Diceros bicornis minor: one gene and its partner. The main gene of each other region encodes a partner of the protein of the gene in region 2 in a complex. Links are inferred from orthologs where the notes say so. Each region holds a gene or a part of one and is shown on either strand. Other genes may lie near its edges. The genes, in order: IZUMO1R and IZUMO1.

Evidence for each region.
Region 1: the proteins of IZUMO1 (region 2) and IZUMO1R are in contact, whole or in part, in a crystal structure (PDB 5JKC), measured with the Homo sapiens proteins. The link is inferred for Diceros bicornis minor from reciprocal best matches to the Homo sapiens genes IZUMO1 and IZUMO1R. Residues at the interface, in NP_872381.2 of Homo sapiens: Met75, Val77, Tyr134, Val141, Leu146, Trp148, Lys150, Asn151, Lys153, Glu155, Val156, His157, Ala158, Arg160, Lys161, Ser162, Tyr163, Asn239, Ser240, Ser241, Pro242, Ile245; in NP_001186135.1 of Homo sapiens: Lys42, Tyr44, Glu45, Ile48, Leu58, Trp62, His65, Leu66, Asp67, Gly80, Leu81, Leu82, Met83, Pro84, Gly85, Arg87, Ile91, Met145, Ser146, Tyr147, Gln171.

Annotation. Positions count from the first base shown.
Region 1 is NC_080746.1:39,515,714-39,526,032, forward strand, and holds IZUMO1R (sperm-egg fusion protein Juno), read right to left. Parts: upstream 5,170-10,319; coding exon 5,032-5,169; intron 4,313-5,031; coding exon 4,105-4,312; intron 3,684-4,104; coding exon 3,546-3,683; intron 3,389-3,545; coding exon 3,120-3,388; 3' UTR 2,820-3,119; downstream 1-2,819. UniProt on the Homo sapiens protein: Receptor for IZUMO1 present at the cell surface of oocytes (oolemma), which is essential for species-specific gamete recognition and fertilization.
Region 2 is NC_080773.1:24,354,988-24,366,644, reverse strand, and holds IZUMO1 (izumo sperm-egg fusion protein 1), read left to right. Parts: upstream 1-6,898; 5' UTR 6,899-7,880; coding exon 7,881-8,115; intron 8,116-8,471; coding exon 8,472-8,546; exon of another isoform or gene 8,547-8,733; coding exon of another isoform or gene 8,734-8,941; coding exon 8,942-9,028; intron 9,029-9,281; coding exon 9,282-9,302; intron 9,303-9,645; coding exon 9,646-9,726; intron 9,727-9,901; coding exon 9,902-10,002; intron 10,003-10,267; coding exon 10,268-10,421; intron 10,422-10,737; coding exon 10,738-10,939; intron 10,940-11,240; coding exon 11,241-11,364; coding exon of another isoform or gene 11,365-11,384; 3' UTR 11,385-11,397; downstream 11,398-11,657. Other genes in the region: FGF21 (fibroblast growth factor 21), read right to left, coding at 1-107, 779-882, 1,042-1,276; FUT1 (galactoside alpha-(1,2)-fucosyltransferase 1), read left to right, coding at 4,312-5,424. UniProt on the Homo sapiens protein: Essential sperm cell-surface protein required for fertilization by acting as a ligand for IZUMO1R/JUNO receptor on egg.

The DNA of each region.
Region 1 (10,319 bases), on a different chromosome or scaffold from region 2:
CAGAATTCACTATCATCTTTGCTAGTCACGGGAAAGAAGACCCACATATACAACCATGGAGGACACCCATCCCAGCCAGCTAGAAAATCCAACCCACCCCCATTCTTAAACCCAGCCCACACAGCCAAGGTCAGACACAGAGAAAACCAGCAGCACACAAGGGAAGATCAAGATAGACCAGATTGACTTTGGAGGAGACAGGTCAGAGACAAAAAACATGCTTTAAAAAATTCTAATTAGACCTTCAGTGAGATTTGAGAAGATATTACATCCATAAAAACCAGCAACAGCAGGCTGTGAAGAACAAGGGAATTAAGAAAAAAAAAAAGTCTCCAGGAAATTCAAAGTGGATTGCCAAAATTAAAAAGATTGGAAGATTAAGTTGAGAAACTAATGGAACAGAGAGCAAAAAAATAGCCTGTGTGTAGCAGAAAAGATAAGTCACCTTTTGTAACTTTTTCCTAGCTAAATCCAGAAATGGTTAGGAGTAGGCGCCTCTGGGCAGGGGCTCTTGGGCCGAGGGACTGGCTGGCTGGGGCTCTGTTGCTGTGTTAGAGATGGTTTGACCTATGTGTTTTAGCCATGTGCATGGATCACTCTGATTAAAACAAATAATATAACTGCAAACCTGACAGTTCCACTCCACTACCCGTCACTCCTCCCAACCACACATGGAGAGAGAGATCAGTCTCTATTTCTTGACCATGACCTGCTGTGAGCCAGCCTCCTCTCCCCACATCTGCTTCAGCCCCGCTCACCAACTTACCAGGATGCTCAGTGTGAGCCTTATAAGCTGGGGCTCTGGGGTCAGACTTACCTGGTTGCAAAGCTACATAGGCTTCTGATCTAATTGGAAAATGAGGAGAACAAGAGTAGCTCACAAGGCTTTTGTGAGGATCAAATGAGCTAGTGCAAGCGTGTCAGGAGCTTGGCAGAGCCCCTATGCTCAGAGTAAGTGATCAATAAATATTAATAGTTATTAGGGCTCCCAGAACTGGTCTTGTTTTGTCCACCCTAATTTTAACCCTACTTTGACTATTTTTTATATTTATACCTAAAAATACTAAAAAAAAGTCACTAAACTCAGCTTTATTATGAAGCACATACCCTCAGACACTTCATTCAGTCCTCAGTTCTTAAGAAATTTTACCTACATGTATTTTTGGGCCGGCCCTGTGGCTTAGCGGTTAAGCGCACGCGCTCCGCTGCTGGTGGCCCGGGTTCGGATCCCAGGCGTGCACCAATGCGTCGCTTCTCCAGCCATGCTGAGGCCGCGTCCCACATACAGCAACTAGAAGGATGTGCAACTATGACATGCAGCTATCTACTGGGGTTTTGGGGTGAAAAATAAATAAAATTAAAAAAATTTTACCTACATGTATTTTTGCCCCACATACAGCAACTAGCAGGATGTGCAGCTATGACATGCAGCTATCTACTGGGGTTTTGGGTGAAAAAAATAAAATAAAAAAAAAATAAATTTCACCTACATGTATTTTTGCAGCCACGATTTATTAATTTAAAAACAGTTCAAGTTCCCCCATCATATGGTTCATGCCTTGGGGAATCGGCTGGTTTTTGTCTAGTATTTCCTTTCTCTTCTCAGTGAAGTGACCCTTCTTCACCGGGAGCGCTCAAGCTTCACCTCTTTTGTGAGGTCTTCCCAGGACTCCCACCCCGGCCTAGCCCCTGTTTTCGCAGACACCCAGTGAAGTGCTTTGTCACCCCTGCTGCTGTCTGTCTCCTGCTCCAGACTCTGAGCACATCACTTGGAAGGACTCTCTTCATTTTGGAATCGGAGTGCCCACCTGTAACAGGGTTTGCTCAGTGCAAGCTCACATTCAAGGTAAGCGTGGGAGCAAGGCGGGTGGAGTTAACTGATGAGCAGGGCTGGCTGGTCTCTGGCGAGAATGAGTAATTGTTAGAAAAGCCAACCAACTGAAGTGCAGGCGTATTAGAAGCCTCTCTTTGTCAAAGAAGAGGTTGTGGGGAAAGCACCATCCATGCTGGGAAGCTGTTGGGCTTCAGTTTTGGAAGGTTCTGGGTGAGTGTGTTGGCTGCCAGTCCACTTACAGAAAGGATGTGAAGGCCACCTCCACACCCCTTCTCTGCTTCAGTTCTAACTGTTCTGTCTTATTCTTTAGGACATAGCACTGCCTGAGAAGCATAGACTATACGCCAACAAACAACGGCACTGGCTTTTTCCTTTTTCTCTTTGTTGGTCAAAATCACATGGTCCAACTACCTCATTCCCCTCAGCAGAGAGGGAAACCAAGACAGTCTTAAACAAAGGTTAAAGCACTTGCCAAAAGTCATACAGAAAGTGGTCAAGATGGATTAGAACTCTGGCTTTCAAAATTCCAGACCAGTGTGTTGTGATTCTGGGGTTAAAAGGAAGAGGGAAAGCCGAAAGCAGTTGAGGCAGCTGCTTCAATCTTGGTGTCCAAAATAGAGCCTATGGGCTGGGTGGCCCCATCCTCATCCTGGATTTGGGTCTTTTGTACGGTGTATCCCTTATTGAAAAAAAAGGAGATGTTGAAAGGACTCCCATCAGAGAGGTGTTGTGAGGATTAACAAGAGGGCCTGGCACATGTGAAGAAGTTAATTATTATTATGGTAAGTAACAGCCAACTCTGCGACTTCAGTACAGCAGGCAAACTGCCTCCCTCTTTGTGTAGCTTGACTCCTTGACCATAAAGTGAGGACGGCGTGGGTCATGCAGAGAGGAAAGGTCAACTGCCGTTTTATTGGAGGCACCGTCATGAGACAGGAGGCCAGGGCTGTCACCATCAGCTCTGCCAGGGAAGGGGGAGGGTGTATACTGGAGGAGAAGGGCCTGGAGTCCCACTTCAGAGCCCCACCATCCATAAAGGCAGGAGGGGGCAGGTCACCTTGGCCATCCAAGCCCCCAGCTACCTTCCAGGGAGGAAAAGGCAGAGCAGAGCAGTAGAGGGGGCCTAGAACCGAATGTGCAAGTTCTCAGGCACCAGCTCCTGTAGCCTCAATGTCCCACCAGCTCCCCAGCCTGTGCTGAGTCACTTAAGGAAGGGACCCAGGAAGGAGGCTGCCATGCCATAGGTGGGGGAGTGCAGGAGTGTGGGTGGGAGGAGAAGGGGCTCTCAAGAAAGGAACAACAGGAACAGAGAGAAGGCCATGAGAGTGTGGGAGAGTTCCCAGGACTGAGCAGGGCTGGCGAAGAGGCGGGCCACGGCCTCATTGGGGTTGCCATGAGCAGGCTCAAACCACTTCTGCAGACACTGACCACTGTTCCTGCGCTCAGGACTCGCCTTGAAGGAGTTGCTCCAAATCTTCTCACACAGGTCAGCCGGAGTGGGGAAGTAATGGGGGAAAGGGTGGCAGTGGGCCCTTGCAGGGCAGCGGTTCTTACCTGTGGGGGGTTGAGGCACGGACAACTTACCTTCCACTCCTGTCACCCTCGAATCCCCATCATTTGCCCTGAGGGAGCACAGGGTGCTTGCACCTGCCCCCAGGGAGGGTGCCTCCCAGGCCCTGCTTTCCCCCGTGCCCTGTCAAGTGCCACTCACCTCCACTCCAGTCCCAGCCATGATGCCAATTGGATTTGCAAGTGTAAGACGTGCGGCAGTCTTCCCACCACTGCTCACAGTCCTCCCTGCAGAGTGGCGCATCCAAAATCCGCTCTCCCTGCCTGCTTGGGTCCACCTGGGTGCAGGCACAGCAAGAGACAAGAATACTAATAGCAGCAATTTGAAGACTATGGATAGCTAGAATGGTGCTTGTGCCAGGTGCCATCTGAATATATTCTCTTATGAAGTCTTTAAGTATGATTTTACAAACGAGAACAATGAGGCTAAGAGGATGAATAGGTTTGTCTTGGGCTGCACAGCTTCTGTTCCTACATACAAAAGATGGGATTCAAATAGTCCCTCATCCTTTGTTCTCATCTAACCAGTCTCCCCCCATGTCCTTCTCCACGGCTGGAGGCTGCTTCCTCTCCAACCCTTTCCCCAACAACAGCCTCTGGCTCTGCTCTTGTCCATAGGAGGATGTATCTCCTGTTCCTGCTAGTATCCTGGAGCTCAGGCTCTTAGTAGCAGGGCATTGTATGGATGTGTCTCCTGCCTCCCCAGCCCAGTCTTCCCACCTGCTGGATCCAAGGCCCCAGGTTCGGGGAGCACTCGTAGAAGCAGACAGCTTGGAGGAAGTGCTTCTGGCAGCCCGGCATCATCAAACCACAGTGAACCAAGCTGAAGTTGTAGAGCAGGGACACATTCAGGTGGGCTTTCCAGCTGGTGTTGGCTGTACAGCAGGCATTGTCCTTCCAGGGGATGCACTGAAGGTAGAGGAAGAAGCAAAAGGTGTGTGTGTGTCGGGGGTGGGGGTGGTAAGAGGCAGGGGGTTGAAGAGTGTCTAGGGCAGAGATATAAAAATGTCCCCCACAAGAGGATGTGGGCAAGTGGGATGCCTTTAGGCTAGCATCCCCCTGTATAGAGGGAATGCTGATAACTTGTCAACATTCACACCCAAAGGGCACCTGCATGCTGACTTCCCTGCCACAGGCTGCTGCAGTCCCCTAGAAACGTGACTTCCGGGATCTCAGCTCCTGAGGGGCAGCAGAGGAGCCTCATGAGACCCAGGGGAATGTGGGGTTGCACTGGGTGGGAGGGCACCATAGCTGAGAAGGGCTCACGGGTAAATGCCAACTCTGCTCCTCCTCCCTCATCCCTGTCAATTGCCTTTAGGAGCCTGAGGAGAGGTCCCTTAAGTCACGGATTTCCCCAGGGCCTGTTGGTAGGAAGGGTGGAGAAGGAGAAGGGGAACCCCTGTTCCCCGAGTGGCCGGGCAGCTGGGAGATGGCAACTTTGAATCATTTGGCAATTATGGTCTCAAAAGGTCATAGTCCCCTCTAGTGGACTTTGCCCAAAGTCCAGCCTAAGGAACCAAATGAGTCAGGGTTGATGGGGGTTTAGAAACCATCTTGGTATTTGTGTCCCTTCCTTGATCTGCCAAAGCAGCCCCCTCCCACCTCTAGACCGGGTCTGGCCTCTGTACCTCCTCGTGGAGCTTGTCTTCTGGGCCAGGCTCTCGCTTGTGGTGCTTGGTGTTCATGCAGACATTGAGAAGCTCGTCCCCAGCCCAGAGGGGCATGACTGTCCACAGCCCTAGCAGGAGCTGCCACCAGCATGCCATGGCCTACTGCAGAGAGGAGACCCACTTGCTTACATGATAGAAAGGACACCCTGCTCCATTCCCTTCACTATCCTGGGGAGCTAGTATGGCTTCAAGGCTCCCTCAAGTGACCATGACACTCTGGCTGCTCCTAGGACCTCTGTTTGAGGCAGCATCATTAAATGTCAGGGCAGGTGGAATAAACCTGACAGGTCTGACACCTGCCCCCAACAATTGTACAGATGCAGAAACTGAAGCCCAGGGTTGGGGGAACAAACCAGCCCTAAGGTGAAGATCAAGGGTAGAATGGTTCCAGCCTTCCCTGGGGGAACTTTTCCTGACCCTTCTCCACTTGGAGGCAGCCTTTACCAACTGAGCAACTTATAGGCTGGGAACTCAGAGCTTTGATCCTGGTCCACAGCGAGCCCCCCCATGCTGGCTGAGTGACTGAACAAATGCTCAGTAACCAGATTTTACCTGGAGCAAAGGGCATGGTGGGACTGGGTAGTGTGACAAACGCAAGCCTTACCCCCTCGAGTGTCAACCCTAACTTCAGCCCCTCTGAGGGGTCCACGGAGGGCCCATAGCTCCTCAAGCAGCTGGTCCCCTCCCCAGTCCCCTCTTGCCAGAGTCCTTTCCCCTAGAGAAGTAGTTTGCTTCCAACAGCCTCAACCTATCTCAAACCCAGCCTGAGCACAAGTTGGGGCAGCCGTGCACCCAGGGGCCTTGCTGGCATGTCAGATCAGGGAGCATGCCCAGGCGTGAGTCAGATGTGAGAGCCTTCCACATCCAAAAGACAATACTTGTTATAGGAATGAGGAGACCGGCTCTTCCCTTGGTGTTTCTTGAGCACTATGTTTCCAGCTCTGGTCTAGGTAGTACTGGTAACAGGAGGGAGTGGAAAGAGAGACCAAAAAAAAAAGGGCAGAAGAGCACTCGCTTCAAGCACCTAACCCTTTAGGAAACAAGGCTCCCTCAGCCTTCACCCACCCAGGACCCCATGGCTCCCTCAGTCCTCCAGGCGTTGCAGGAACCGGCCATGGACCCATCATGGTGAAACTGAAAACCTCTGGCCTAGTCCGAGTTTAGAGCCTCAAACATCCCAGGGTGGAGACTTCAGCCCCACCTTCCCAGCCCATCCTCAACTCTAAACCTAAGTCTGCTCTCTCTCCTCGGCACCAGTTTCGAGCACAGACATGGCCATCAAGTATTTTTAGAGAATCATGTATGCCCAGTGAAAAGAAGAAAGATGCTGCCCCTTCCAGTGTGTTCTTCATACTCACTTTCAAAGCAGGAGCTGCTCCCTCGCACCGCCGGAGCTTGTGAAGCTGAGGAGAATTCTATGATCCCACCCATTTATCACCCACTCCCGTTCCTCCTAGGTCCAGGTGCAGAGGCAGAACTCCAGGTGGCTCCAGTTAAACAGCATCCCTCTTACCCAAGTGTAGAGGCCTCCTGGGGGTGGAGCCGGGAGGGTTTCCCTTTCTCAGAGCAGTGGCGACCCCAGAGTGGCTGAGATCCCGGGCTCTTTAGTCAGCTACTGAGTTCTGCTCTCAGCTCTGCTACTTGCTAGCTGGACGACCTTGAGAAAATGGCTTACACTCTGTCAGTTTCCCTATCTGTGTAAAGGGATATTATAAAGGATTGTTGGGAAAAAGAAATGAAAGTTCAGGAAAAGGACTTGGCATTGTGCCTGGCACAGAGTAAGTCTTAACGGTTTTCTTTCTTATCCTTTTATCCCGTGAAGCCTCTCTCTCTCAGCGCTGTTCCTCAGCTTCTACCTGCTCCTTCATCAGCATAGTTACCTGGGATGGGCCACCTGGTGATTGGAGCTAAGGTTCCTGCTGGGGAGCAGACCCAGCAGTACAGAGATGCCAAGATAAAGCTGGGCCTTGGGGACCCAAGAATTCAAGTGCATGACCAAAGCCAAAATAAACAAAACAACAAAGTTCCTCTACAACCCAGGAACCAGCCCCCATTAGTGTGAAGGGGCCGTTGTCCTGTGAAATATTCTACAAATGTTCTCAGCAGTGATATTCACACAGCATCCTTCTCAACTAAGGAGAGGCTAGGAGACTTGGACAGGACTTGTAGGCGAGTCCCGAACATGATGAAAATTCTGAAAAAGGAGCCTGTCTCTTTGCCTGTTTCTTATAACATGTTCTCTCTCCAAAGGAGAAGTAGCCAACATCACTGAAGTTTTATCGATACATAGGAAATTAAACCAAAACAATAAAAGCGTTAAATAAAAGTCATGCCTGATTTGTGTCATTCACAAATCAAAGTCAAATCTGCTTGTGTTGAGAGGCACGTGTCAGCTTTTTTGGGGAACAGTGATGGTCACCAGCCCTGCCTCGCATATCCCAGCCTTAAGCAGAGTGAGGAGTCTCCTTTTTAGGGTCCGATACCAAATAGTAATTACATTTCTGCAGCACAGGTCTCTTCCCACAGGTGTCCACTCAGCAGGGGACGAGCAGGTGCATGTCCTATTCGAGTCCTCACAGATACTCAGGAAGCTCTAAGTCTTGACGAGGTAAGAGTTTGGGTTTAACATTAAGTTTCAGATGGCTGTGGACATGGCAGGGACAAGAATGCTGAAATCAAGTGCAGGAGTAATTACTGACATAGAAAACATGTCCTTTGGTAAATGTCCTTCACGTGTAGGGAAGAAGGACGAGGAAGGATTTGCTAACAGTCTCTTGGACAAGGCTGTAGGAAATGAGCTGAAATTACAGCCAGCACAGGGGCAGGGGAAGCAGGCAGGGAGGGATTCTGGAGGCTGCCACTCAGAGAGCCATCAGGCTGGACAACATCTGCTCCCCAGAGGGGCAGTCTGCAGCCCGTGAAGAAAACTCATTTTTCCCTTATTGTGATTGAGTCTTCTAGAGAAATCTGTTTCCTGACTGAAAGCTGATAAACCAAAGCTGGTTGTGGATGAAGCCATTTGAAGCTGCTGATCTCAAACAATTTTGTTCTAAAAAAACAAAACAGAACACTTAAATTGCCAAGAGCAGCGCTACAGCAGCGTTCAGAGGGTTCTGAAGGGAGGGCGAGCAGCCCAGCCTCACTGGTTACGGAACATAGCACAAGGTGGGCAGTAATAATTCTCCTTCTTTCCCCTACACACGAGGTTGCCCAAGGTGCTGAAGCCCATTGAATTTGAGAACAGACTAAGACAACAAAGAACTTGTGCCAGGAATCTCCTGATGAGAAGCTGAAATCAGAGGCCAGCTGAGGGGCCATCAGTGATTCAGAGTTCTTAGTGGGTCTTATGAGTCCTTCTCCTCTCCCCCAAATCTAGTGACCATGCTTGTCTCAACTCATAATTGGTTTGTTACTAGGGCAGGTAAGACAGGGGTGTTGTTTATCCCCACCTCTTCCTTCCCTTTATATCCATCTCACCACCAAAGTGGTTGGTTTAACTTTCTGCATCTCTCTTGAATTCGGGTTCTTTTATGCCTGTTTCTCTCTTTATGCCTGTCCCAGTCATGATCATCTCTTGCTTCAATTTGTGCAACAACCTCCTAACTGGCTCGCTTGCCCCTTTCCAAATATTTATGCAAGCAGCTGCCAGAATGATCTAATTTCCCAGTACCTTATTATGAAAAATTTCAAACAAGGAAAGTTGAGAGAATTTTACAGTGAACTCCCATATACCCACCACTTAGATTTCACTGTTACCATTTTACTGTATTTTCTTTGTCACACAGCTAGCCAACCATCCAGCCTTCTAGCCAGCCATCAATCTTCTTGTTTTTCATGCGTTTCAAAGTAAATCGCAGACATCAGCATACTTCCTCCTAAATAATTCAAACGTGCGTATCATTAACCAGAGTTCAACATTTGTCTGCAGGCTTTTTTCTTTCAGAATGGTTTTATTAAAAGGTAAAGATGGTTATGATATTCCCATGTTTAAGACCCTTCTAGACTTAAAGATAAGTCCCAAATCCTTAATATGGCACACAGACCATGTTTCATCTAGTTCCGATGTCCTTTTCCATCCCAGTCAGCAGTCCTTTCTCTCATCTACGCTACAGGCATTCCTCACCCCTGATGTCTGTAATTGCTCTGCACTCTTACGTGGTTCCTCTGCCAAGCTATTCTCTCAGAACTCACCCTCCATGCCTGGTAACACCTTCTTATCCCTCAACTCCCAAACTGCTGGCTTCTGCTCAGGGAAGCTTGTGTGGTCCCCCCCAGGGTTGGAGAGATGTTCCCTCTTACTCCTGCTGTGTCATGCACTTACCGCCCCTTTGTGAATGTCTGCTTGTAGTCTCCCCTGCCTCTGGCTGGGAGCAGCTTGGGGCAGGCGCAGTGCCCGATCTGGTAGGCCTGGTCAGTACATGTTTGTAGAGTAAATAAGGAGAAATACCTGAGTAGAATAAACTGCATTTTTTACAAACATTGTTTTAATTCAGACAGGTCCCTAGTTTAACCTGACCTATCCCCTCTCCTTGCCCTCCCTCTTCCTTCTCTTCCCCCTCTTCCTTCCTCCCCCTTATCCTAGCCTCACCTATCTTTCTTCTCTAGTTTAAAATGAACTCTCTTGTCTCTCCTTCCTGCTCCATCCTTCTCACCCCCTTCATCTTTCTCACATCCCTCCATCCTTCTTGCCCCTCTCCATCCTTCTTGCTTTCCCTCCCTTTAACCCCTCTCTATCCTTCTCAGTCTTCTTCTCACCCCCCTCTATCCTTCTCACCCTCCTCTATCCTTCTCACCCTCCATCTTTCTCTCCCCTCAATCCTTTTTACCCCCATCCTTCTTGTCCCCCTCCATCCTTCTCACTCCCCTTCCTATATTTCCCCTTCTCCCCTGGCTCATCTCTCTCCCCTCCCTCCTCTCTTTCTTTCCTCTCCTTTCTCTCTTCTTGATTCTATCCTTACCTATCCTTCTCCCTCTAGTTTAACCTCTTTATTTTCTCTTCCCTATCCCCTCTCCTTACCCTTCTCCTCTGTCCTCTCCCTCTCCTCTCTCTCTCTCTCCCCTCACACTTCCCTCTCCCTTCCAATTTTCTCCCTCAGTCTCAGACTTTCAGCCTGGAACATCTTTAGTTTCTGATGATTTCCGTGACATTTCGGAGTGTTAATGCTGGGGCCTTTCATCACCACTTGAAGAAGGCCAATTTTAGTTTTAATCACAGCAGAGGAAATGACTGTGAAGCTTATCCGGTG
Region 2 (11,657 bases):
TGGGGGGGCAGGCGGAGCGGGAGGCCAAGGGCTTCGGACTGGTAGACGTTGTAGCCGTCCTCAAGGAGCAGCTCCCGGAAGCTGCAGGCCGCGGGGTTGAAGTGGAGCTGAGTGGACAAGAGCAGAGATCAGAGACATGAGATTCCTCTACGCCCTCCTGCTGCAGGACCCAGGGGTCTAGGCCCCCACCCTATCCTCTCCCAGAGCCAGGAGTCCAGGCACCCAGCCCCTCCTCCCTCAGACTCAGGGTCCAGGCCCCAGCCCCTCCTCCAGGACACCACAGAATCAGGCTTCTCTTTCATGCCTCTTTAAGGCCCACCTTCCTGCCCCCACTTCAAAAAGAGGAACATTCCAGCCCAGGGACAGGTCAAGGCTAAGGTCAAGCAGAGGCATTTGGCTGCCACCCAAGGTCTTGGTCCCTCTACAGGCCATGGGTTCCCTGAGTGACCCCACGTCCAGGATGAGCCAGGCCCACAGGAACCCGTGTGGTCAGCAGGGGTTACTAGTCACAAGACTTGGCCTCTCAGGCCACTCTGCCATTCGCAGGCCTCGTGACTCAGGGCTGGTCCTGGATCTGCCTGAGCCTCGGTTTCCTCTTCTCGCAAACGTCGCTAACAACGGCTCCCACCTCCAGGGCTTTCGGTGAGGTTGGGGCATGCAGAGAGTGTAGAACCAACCAAGCCTGGCCTGGGGCCACAGGTGCAAGATGTGCTACCCCAGATTGTGAAGATGATTGGAGGAAGGGTGGAGTGCAAGGAGGGGGGTCCCGGAGACTCACCGATCCATACAGCGTCCCATCTGGCCCCTGGCACAGAAACCTGGATGTCTTGACTCCCAAGATTTGTATGACTCCTGGCTTCAAGGCTTTCAGCTCCAAGAGACCTGAGCGGAGAGATTGGTCAGGGATTCACAGGGCCTTTTCCCAGCCCCCTCCTCCCTCAGACCCAGAGGTCCAGGCTTCCAGCCCCTCCTCCCTCTGACCCAGGAGTCCAGGCCCCCAGCCCCTCCTCCCTCAGGACTAGGCCCTGCCCCCACACTCACTTTCAGGGCTCCGGTGGGCAGCCCCTGCCACTGTGCCATCAGCCCTGATCTCCAGGTGGGCCTCTGTCTCCTGGGCGTCGTCTGTGTAGAGATAACGCAGCCGGACTTGGCCCCCGAATTGGAGGAGGGGGCTGGAGTCAGGGATGGGGTGTGCCTGGCAGGCTCCCAGTAGAAAGACAGCCAGCACAGGGACCCACAGTCCTGGGTGCTCCAACCCGGCCTTGTTCCAGTCCATCAATGGCTCACGTCCTCAGGCGAGGTCTGGGGTCTAGGATTTGAAGAGCTGAATGGTCTAGATTCTGTTTCAGATCCTGGTGGTCTGGGAAAGCAGATTCACGGATTGCTGCTCAGAGAGCCCAAGTGCCTGGGTCCTCTCGCATGTGGACTCCCAGCTGAGAGGACAGCCAAGTCTCTTGGGATGGATGCAGAAGCTCGGGAATTTATATCCTGACAGACCTGCCCAATCACCTTCCCCATGCCTGACCCATGATATTTGACCCACTTGGCGGTAGCTAGGACTCTACCGTGGCCAGGTCAGCCTGAACGGATGATGCAATCAGGGGGTCCTTCCAGCTAGGGGCCTGGACTCCTGAGTCTGGGGGAGGAGGGGGTTGGGGGCCTGGACTCCCAGGTCTGGGGGATGAGGGGCTGGGGGCCTGGACCCCTGGGTCTGAGGGAGGAGGGGCTGGGGGCCCGGACCCCTGGGTCTGAGGGAGGAGGGGCTGCAGGTCTGCACTCCGGGGTCTGAGGAAGGAGGGGCTGGGTCTGGACCCCTGGGTCCGAGGGAGGAGGGGCTGGGGGCCCAGAGTCCTGGGTCTGAGGGAGGAGGGGCTGGGGCCCAGACTCCTGGGTCTGAGGGAGGAAGGGCTGGGGGCCCTGGACTCCTGGGTCTGAGGGAGGAGGGGCTGGGGGTCTGGACTCCTGAGTTTGAGGGATGAGGGGCTGGGGCTGGACTCTGGGATCTGAGGGAGGAGGGGCTCGGGGCCCCACTCTTGAGTCTGAGGGAGGAGGGTCTGGAATGTTGGAAAACCGCCTCCCTGGCTGACTGATGCAGACTGTGTCCCACCACTGGAATTTCTGCATTCCACCTGAATTTCTAGGTTTCTGGGGGTCACTGAGGTTCCTTGATCATCAGGAAAGCACCAACTGCCACATGACAAAGCATCCTGCACAGGGACACAGGTGTCCTGGCCTTTAGCCTCTCGCCTGACCTCAAGCCAACCTCAACGTCACTAACCCCTGCCCAGACACCCAAGGTCCAGGCCGCCTCCTCCTCCCTGATGTAATCCTGGTGTTTCTTTCACCAGAGAAGCTACGGCAGGCCCAAACAGGCGCTCCAAAAATAGCGTGGGAGTGGGGGCGGGGAGGATAAAAGTCTCTGACTCAGAGTTGGCAGCAGAGCCAGACTCTTGAGGGGGCTGAGGGAGCCCAAAGGGAATGCGGTGTGGGCAATTTCCTGAAACCTACGGGTGCAGGGACTGGACACTCGGGTCTGAGGGAGGAGGGGGCTGGGGGCTGGACTCCCGGGTCTGAAGGAGGAGGGGCTGGGGGCTGGACTCCCGGGTCTGAGGGAGGAGGGGCTGGGGGCTGGGATTTCTGGGTCTGGAGAAATTGTGGTCAAGTCTCTGAAGCGTTAGGTCGAATTCCTGAGTCTTTGACTTTGATTTATTGAATGACAATGGTCAGACAGCTCGGCCGGGTGGGTGGAGGGGGGAGCCGCCTTCCGCAGTAGAAACAGCTTCAGGTCTGCAGGGGAGCAGAGGCCTTTGTTCTGCGCCAGCAGCCGCGCCCTCAGCGGGAGGCAGGGAAGACACACTCTCTTCCACTCCAGCTTTCTTCATTCCCCTCCTCGACAAAGGCTGCCTTCGCCACGTGCCGGTCTAGAAAGCAGTAGTCAGGCGCCAGACCCTAGAATCCCCCAAAAGGAGAGGCTGGGGCCCGAATTTGCGAGTGGACGGGGCGGATATGGGGATCAGCTGCCCTTGGTGGGCGCGGGGACACCTTCAGGCTGGAGGCTCCCACGCCTGGGACCCTGAGAGCTGGAAGAGGCTGTCCAGGCGCTCCTGGAGCAGCCTGGCGAAACAGGTTCTCCATCTCCAACGGGAGGCTGCGGCAGGGGAGGAGGATCTCCCTCCCCGCCGGGACCTGGTGTTCCAGCCCTTCCCAGCGGCTGGGGCGTGGCCGGGCTGTGTGCATCCAGGTACACAGTGCAGACCCAGGCACCGGAGGGGAAGGGAGAGAGATCGACAGACCAGAACGCCTAGGTCCAGCATTGCAGCTGGGCGCTAGATCTCCATGTCCACGGAAGGATGCGGCTGCTAGGAGGCCAGGTAGGCTGCCCCGGGCGGAGCCTCCTCTCTGGCCAGTGCCGGGGAGGAGGGGGCTGGGTCGCGGTCCCCGGGTCTGGGGGCGTGGTGGTGGGGGCAGAAGGCGGGGGCTACCACCCTAGCCCCGGGCGCCAGGACTCCTCGCCAGGGAAGGGGCGGGGCTCCGCCTAGGAGCTACCTGCGAGGCAGCCCAGGAGGGGCGGAGGCTGTGAATTCCGGACCGCGCCCCCGTCTCCATCCTCCCCTCCCCGAGCCCTTGCAGCCAGTCCCGGGAGGCGGCGTGGAGGGGAGGGCTGCTGGGCCTGGGAACCTGGAGTCCGGGGTTCCGGGGACGGCCGGATGTGGGCCGCACTTCCAGACCGTGCGCTCCAGCCACGCCAGGCCGTCTGTGGATCTGCCACCCGCCAGGAGCTCAGGTGAGTGAGAACTGCGGATGCCTCGGACCCAGCAATCGGGGCCTTCAGTCCGCCCAACTCCTAACCCCGTGCAACCGGAGGAGTCTCCCCACCCCCACTCCCCACTCCTGCTCCTCCAGGGACCAAGATCCCTCATCCAGTCCTGGGCCTACAGCCTCACATGTTCCTCTTGGCCTGTTGCTCCTGGTCACCTCGGTGGTGGACTCTGCCCCTCATACACCTGGGAAAGGAGTTGGTGGAACATTGGTCCAACTTCAGTGGCCCTTCCAGGCCTGGAGAGCGAGATTCCAAGATGTGGGGATGAGGAGCTGGATCCTGGACCACTGCTGTCTAGGAAACCACCAATTTATCACCATCTCCCATCCTCATCCCCTGAAATTGCAAGCCCCCAGCTTCTCCTCTCTCAGATCCAGGAGTCCTGGACCCTGATCCCCCTTTCTCTCAGACCCAGGGGGCCGAAACCTTAGTTTCCTCATTGTGTCTCAGGCTCTGAGCACCTGCTAATTCACCTTTCCTCCCCTGCAGCCATGTGGGCCCCTAGCCCACGTCATCTCTGTCTGACCTTCCTGCTAGTCTGTGTTCTTTCGTCAGTCTTCTTCCTCCACGTCCACCAAGACCTCTTTCACAGTGGTGTAGACCTGTTTGCCCTGTGTCCAGACCGCCGCGTGGTGACATCTCGTGTGTCCATCTTATGCCTGTCGGGCACGCCAATGACCTCCAACACCTCCCTTTCCTGTCCGGAGCAGCCTGCCTCCCTCACAGGAACCTGGACCATCTACCCAGATGGCCGGTTTGGTAACCAGATGGGGCAGTATGCCACGCTGCTGGCCCTGGCCCAGCTCAACGGCCGCCAGGCCTTCATCCTGCCCGCCATGCACGCCGCCCTGGCCCCCGTGTTCCGCATCACCCTGCCTGTGCTGGCGCCCGAGGTGGACCGCCACACGGCTTGGCGAGAGTTGGAGCTGCATGACTGGATGTCGGAGGAGTATGCCCGCTTGAAGGAGCCCTTGCTGAAGTTCACTGGCTTCCCCTGTTCCTGGACCTTCTTCCACCATCTCCGAGAACAGATCCGCAGCGAGTTCACCTTGCATGACCACCTTCGGCAAGAGGCCCAGGCTTTACTGAGTCAGCTCCACCTGGGCCGCACGGGGGGCCGCCCGAGCACCTTTGTGGGTGTCCACGTGCGCCGTGGGGACTATCTGCAGGTTATGCCCCAGCGCTGGAAGGGTGTGGTGGGCGATCGCGCCTACCTCCAGCAGGCTATGGACTGGTTCCGGGAGCGGCATGAAGCCCCCATCTTCGTGGTCACCAGCAACGGCATGGGGTGGTGCCGGGAAAACATTGACACCTCCCGGGGGGATGTGATCTTTGCTGGCAATGGGCAGGAGGGCTCACCGGGGAAGGACTTTGCGCTGCTCATGCAGTGCAACCACACCATCATGACTATTGGCACCTTCGGCTTCTGGGCTGCCTACCTGGCTGGTGGAGACACTGTCTACCTGGCCAACTTCACCCTGCCCGACTCCAACTTCCTGAAGATCTTTAAACCTGAGGCTGCCTTCCTGCCTGAGTGGGTGGGCATTAATGCAGACTTGTCTCCACTCCAGACACTGGCAGGGAGACTTCCTGGAATAGCCTGATTGATCAAGGGCCAGCATTGTGCTTCTCTGGAGGCCTAGCAGCTTCTGGAGAAGGTTGTGGTCCTGCAGCAGGTGGGTACCCACTTCTAGAGTGATTCTAGTTGGCTAGAATTTGAAAGAAAGGGGGGCTTTCTGCAACTGCCTGAATGTTCTAGAACCATCAGAAGATCTTTTTCCTGATGGCTGGCAATGTCTGGAGAAGCTCCTGGCAGTTCTAGAAGGCACAGTGCCCACCTGCTCTTCAAGCCCATATCCAGAGTACTTCTAGATGACTGCCCCCCAGGAACGGGGAACTCCCCCCTCTAGTTGACCATCCTGGTCTTTTCTAGAAGAGATGTTTCTCCTCCCCTGGATCCTCAGGACTGAAGGAACTCGGGTGGTTCTAGAGGAAGCACTCACCAACTCCCTTTCTGTGTTTCTGGGGTGATTTTAGAGGGGAGGACTTGCTTTAGAGAGGGCCAGTTCTAATGCCTGTGAAGAAGCCTGCAGGGCCCTTCCAGAGGGGATGGGGTTCTGGAATTCCAGATGACTTCAGCGAAGAATCTAATGAAGGTACTACCAGAAGCTCAACATGTCACCACTGCCAGAAAGATTGATAGAAGACAGTCTCTCAGTAGCTGCAGAAGTGTGTGAGCAGAGCGGAACTCTATCCCACCTCTCAGCACCTGAAAAAACCACAAAGACTTTTTTGGGGAGCAGATAGACTTAAAAGGTGGGAAGTGGGGAAGAGGGCTGTCTTGCTGAAGTACTGCAGCTTTTGGAGCAAGGCTTCCAGAAATCCAGGGACACTTTTTTTTTTAAGCTCAAAAACTGCCAAAGACAGGCACTGCACATCTTGGCTCCGAGTTCGGGTTGTCTCTTCCCAATTAAGCTGGGCTGCTGGGGGTGATGGGATCGATTTTCTGGAACTTTCTGGAAGTCAGCTGGCATAAACGTGCCCTCTGGGCTTGCAGAAAGCTGCAGGAGTTGTTCCCCTTGGCAATCATCGTCTGCCCCTGAATTCACAGAGCCACTAAATCTGGCTTTGGGCAAGTCGGAGATGAAAGGGTCTGAAGGGATGCAGACCCGGGATTGGCCTCAGACACAGCCAGGAGGGGTCTGGCCAAGGAGATTGGGATTCTTGACTCAGATTTCAGGAGCCCCTTGGTGCTTTTTGAAGGGGGTAAAGGTAGATACTTTATCACAGTTGTCTAAGAATCTAAGCCCCTTTTCTAGTCTTCTCAGGGAGTGTTGGGGGACCATTCCCTACTCAGCTGCCATAGGTGGGAGAGTGGGAGATATGAATTAAAAGTCCACCTCACCAACCCGTGTCTGCAATTTCTTTTGGAGTCTTGTGTGCCCGAGTGTGTGTGTGAGTGAGTAGGATGAAAAGTGGGGAACTTCCGGGGACTGTCATGACTCATGTCTTGGGGTATTGTCTCTGCTCAGATCTGGCAGCCTCTTGTTGCCGGACTTGTGTGAGCTGTGGTCTCTGAGCCCCAGTTCTTTTCTTCGGGACTCAGTATTGGCCCCCAGACCTCTCTTCCTCTGAGGCCTTGGCGCCCGGTCCCAGAAACGGGAGAGAAAGTGGAGGGAGTGGGCCAGAGTGTAATTCTTGAACTACATTTCCCATAAAGCTATGGGGTTGGCTGCGGTAATCAGCTAGGGAGAGACCCCGAGGCCTTCTGGGAGTCGTAGTCCTAGGGCTAGAAAGGGCCACGTCCCTCGTCTTTGTGGCTCGACGCCAGGGTTTCCAAAGGGCAGTGGGCATCTAGCCGGAAGCCTCGGTCCTGGGCCCAGGGAGGGGAGGAAGCTGAAGGTCAGAAGCCAGTTCCTTGGCCCTGGAAAGCTAGAGCAGACACGGTACTTCCCTTTCTGTAGATGCTGGGAAAGTTCTAGTCTGAAAAGACGGCCGCCTCTGTGACATCAGAGCGATAGGCGGGGCCTCCTTTTGTTGGAGTCCAATCAGATTCAGAGTTGGGCTTCTGGGCGGGGCCAAGGAAACCCCAGGGAATATGTCTAGGGAATTGGGCCCCTCGTGGGAAGCTAGAAGGCGGAGGCTGTGGGAGTTCCCTGTAGATAGGAGCGAACCGTGACTCTGACCCCAGTCAAAAGCCCCCTATACCATGCAACCATCCTCATCCTCGCCCCCAACAAGATCCTTAATTTTAGTCGTGGGAAAATATTAGATTGGAAGGACGTGGCCCCGTCGCCTTCTCTTAAAAGCCCTCGGAACTTGGACTCGGCTCTTCAGCGAACCCTAGTGTTTGAGGGTACAACAGTCAGGAGTCAAGGTCGGGCAGCGGTTGTTTAGGGTGCATCGGGACTTCTCGGTTTCCTAAAGAGAAGGGTGAGCCCTGCAAACGCGGGGTCCGTTAGTCTCGGGGAGGGGCTTCTCTCGGTTTGGCTCTCACCTCCTCTCGGTTTGGGGTGAGAGAACCACCCCCCACCCCCCGGCTCTGCGCGCTCTGGCCGCGATGGGGCCACGACTTCCCCTCCTGGTGGTCGCGCTGGCCGGCTGTCTGCTTCCTGCCCGAGGCTGTGTCATGTGTGATTCAGAGGTCGTGGAGGCGCTAAACTCCTTGGAGAAGGATTACCTGCCTGGCCACCTGGAGCCCAAGCATCACAAAAACGTGATGAAAAGGGTAAAGCAAGCCGTGCAGGATTTCAAGGAACTGCCGTTTGACGAGGATTCCTATATGGGGGTCGTCGGTGAGGGCAGGGCGGAGCGCGGACTTTTGGGACCTGGGAAAGGAGGGGTCTGGGGCCAGAATTGCTGGGTCCAGGGGGGAAAGAGCTGGAGGCGGAGTCTCCTGGGTTCGGAAATGGAGAAGGGTGGGACCCAGATTCCGGGGTTCCCCAGGGCCAGCGGATATCGTGTTCTCGTACCCCTTATCCTGTAATTTTATGCAAAGAAAACTACAACTCCCAGAAGGCAACGGGCGGGTAACCCCCTTAACCAGGCCTATTCTTGCCCAGTGGACCCATGGGTATTGTAGTTTCTAAGACTAGGAGAGCCAATGAGACTCCAGTAACGCTGAAATCTGGTGTTCTATCTCCCCCCACAGATGAGCCCACACTGAAAAAGGCATCCTGGAGTTTCCTGAAGGATCTGAAACGCATCACGGACAGTGATGTAAAAGGTAAATGCACAGAGCTGCCAGGGGAGGGGCTCCAGAATCTCTCAGGGAAGTAATCGCTAGTGGCGCCTGGTCTGGTGGTCAGATACCGGGCTCCGGAGCCAGACTGCCAACGTTCAAATTCTGGCTCTGCCACTTTCCAGCTGTATGGCCTTGAGCGAGGGATTTCGCAGCTTCCTCACCTCTAAAAATGGAGACCATAACAGTGTCTTCATCCCAGTTGTTGCTTAGTCAAGTGGCCAGTATTATGTTAAGTGGTCATTCAATTTCACTCTTCTTCCCTGAGAATGCCCGAAAGCAGAATGCCAGGCTCTGCAGACAGAGGCAAACTTCCTGTACCTCACACCTGGGAAGGGGTGGGGGGTGGACCCACTCCGCGTCATCCTGCTTCTTCCCAGGTGAGCTCTTCGTGAAGGAGCTGTTCTGGATGTTGAGCCTGGAAAAGGACAACTTTGCCAGCTACGCTGCTCAGTTCCAAAAAGAGGGTGAGGGAAAATGGGACCCCAGCAACCCAGCCTCCTCCCTCCACAGTCCAAGAGTCCCTGTCCCCAGCCCCTTGCTTCTCCAAGTCTGGTCCCTCAGCTCTCACAACCCCCTCCTCCCTCAGACCCAGGGGTCCAGGCACCCAGGTCCTTCCTCCCTCAAACCCAAGAGCTCCCAGCCTCTTCCTTCACCCCCTCTGTCATCCCCTTTAACTTAGAAATCTGATTCTCATTTTTTTTCTTTCTCCGGAGGCAGCTTTTTGTCCCAACAAATGTGGTGAGTCCGGATTATGGGAGCTGGTCCTCTATGCCTCATCCCTGCCCCGTGAATACCCAGCCTTTCGCCTCCCCCGTTTGGGTCTCGGGGTTTCTTCATTCTCCGCGTCTAAGAGGTTCCTGGGTCTCCAGGATTCCTTCCGCGCTTCTGAGTTCTTGGGGAGCGAGTCACATTCTATTTGCGCTCTTCGCTGAGCCTTCCTACAGGGCTGCGTTCGAGCCCCGCCCCTCGGGCTGACCTCCTAGGGATCCGGCACAGGACCGCGCCCCAGCCCTTGGCCCTGCCCTCTTCTTTTAGCCCCTCCTCTTAGTAGGTGAACACAGTCTTGACCCTGCCCCCTCAGGTATGATGTTGCAGACTATGATCTGGTGCAGTAACTGCGAGAAGCAGGTTCACGCTTGTCGCAAGTCCTTGGATTGCGGGGGTGAGAGAGCTGGGCCCAGCAGGAGGTGTGGGCGTGAGAGGGGCGGAGCCAGAGGAGAGACTGAGTCTAGAGGGGCCGGATGCTGGAGCCAGCAGACAAGAAGAGGCGGGCCGAGACCGAGTGGAAGGGGGTGGGGGAAGGGCCAAGAATCTCACAGTGACCCCCCCATCCCCAGAGCGCAAGGTCAAGGTCCATCAAATGGAAGACATGATCCTGGACTGTCACCTCAACTGGCATCAAGTGTCTCAAGGCCTGACCGATTACAGCTTTTACAGGGTGGGGCCCTCCAACTCCTGTAACCCTTGAACTCCAAGTCCATCAGGCCGTGTGAGCCCCCTGGTCCCTGTATCCACACGCCTGCGCCCCCATGACCCATGGCCCACCAAGTTTGGCTTCTACTGACCCCCCGGGGACCCCATGCCCCGACCAGTACACCCTGGACTCCCATCTCCCACACCGAGGGCCTGTGATCTTCTCACCCCTGGACTCCCCCGACCCCTGAATTCCCCAGGCCTCTGTGACCCCTTGAGCTTGGGTCTAGGTTTGGGGGAACAATGCTGAGACCTTGGTGTCCAAGGGGAAAGAGCCCACCCTGACCAAGACCATGGTGGGTCCAGAGGATGAAGGCACCTACCGCTGCGAGCTGGGCACCGTGAGGTCCGGCCCAGCCACGGTCATCCATTTTCACGTCACAGGTCAGCACAGGGGAGCTGAGAGAAGTGTGGGTGGGATTCAAGGTCCTGGGGTGGGGGCTGTCAATTTCAGGGGGGCGGCCTATGGGGCTTAACTTCCCGTTGGGGTGTGGTTTCGGAGTGTGGCTTCCCGCCCTGGGTGTGGCCTCTGGCCATGGTGGCAGTGTTCCCCTCAGGGTTCCGGCTTCACGCAGTCGGAGGCGTGATTATCTCCTGGAGGGCCTGGGTCCTGCGGCGGGTTGAGGTGGGGAGGGCCTGCCTTGGCCACGGCGGGACCTTCGCGCCCTCCCAGGACGGCTCCTTCCTCCTCTTCTATCAGTGTTGCCCAAAAGAATTGAGGAGGAGATACCGTTACCAGGCGTCCCAACCCAGGGTGAGGTGACCTTGGCTCGCCCCCAGTCGCCCACAACCCTGCAATCTCCGCCGTCACTGTCGCTGAATCCCGTGAAGATGCTGCGAGGGCGCCTGATAGGGCTGCTGATCTGGGGCTCTGTGGTGCTAATAGCCTGCGTCGCGACCGTGTGAGCCGCCCACTGAAGGCAGGGCTTGGAGTGCGGGGCGGCGCTTCCAAAAACCTAACGCAGCGGGGTTTCTGGGAGCTACGGTGCTCTGAGCTGGACTTCCATTGGGGATGGGGCTTAGAAAACGGGGCGGGGCTTAGAAAACGGGGCGGGGCTTAGAAAACGGGGCGGGGCTTACCGGGGGGGGGGCGAAGCTTGGATAATTACTAGAACGAGGTCAGATATCGGGAGGCTGGGAGGGGTATCCCTCACTCGGTTAGGACCTCACCTGGTTCCGCTGTTTGCACCTACCCTCCCCCAGGATAATTTGCTTGCGGTCTGGGAAGATCCTCGATTCCGTGAAGTCCTGGTTTGGCACTGTCAGTGGAGCTGCTCAGCAATCCCAGGTTCCAGAGGAAAAGGCCAAGAAATCAAGGAGCAAATAAAGATTTATCTGGTTGTCTAAGTATCTGACTCACTCCTTGGGTCTGATCCTAACTTTTCCTTCCTCGAGAGGAGAGGTCTGGGGATGGTCTCCTGTCTGAGGAAGGAGGGGCTGGGAACCGGGCCCCCTGGGTCTTGGAAGGGACCAACTGGCTGCGGTGTTTAATTCCAGAATCAAGGAGCGGGGCAGGGCCAACCCTACCCAGATCTCCTCCCCCAGGCCCGGTCCCCTCACAGGACGCCCCCTCCCCGCTCTTCCTGCCGGGTTTCCTCTCTCCTTTTCCTGTCCCCCACC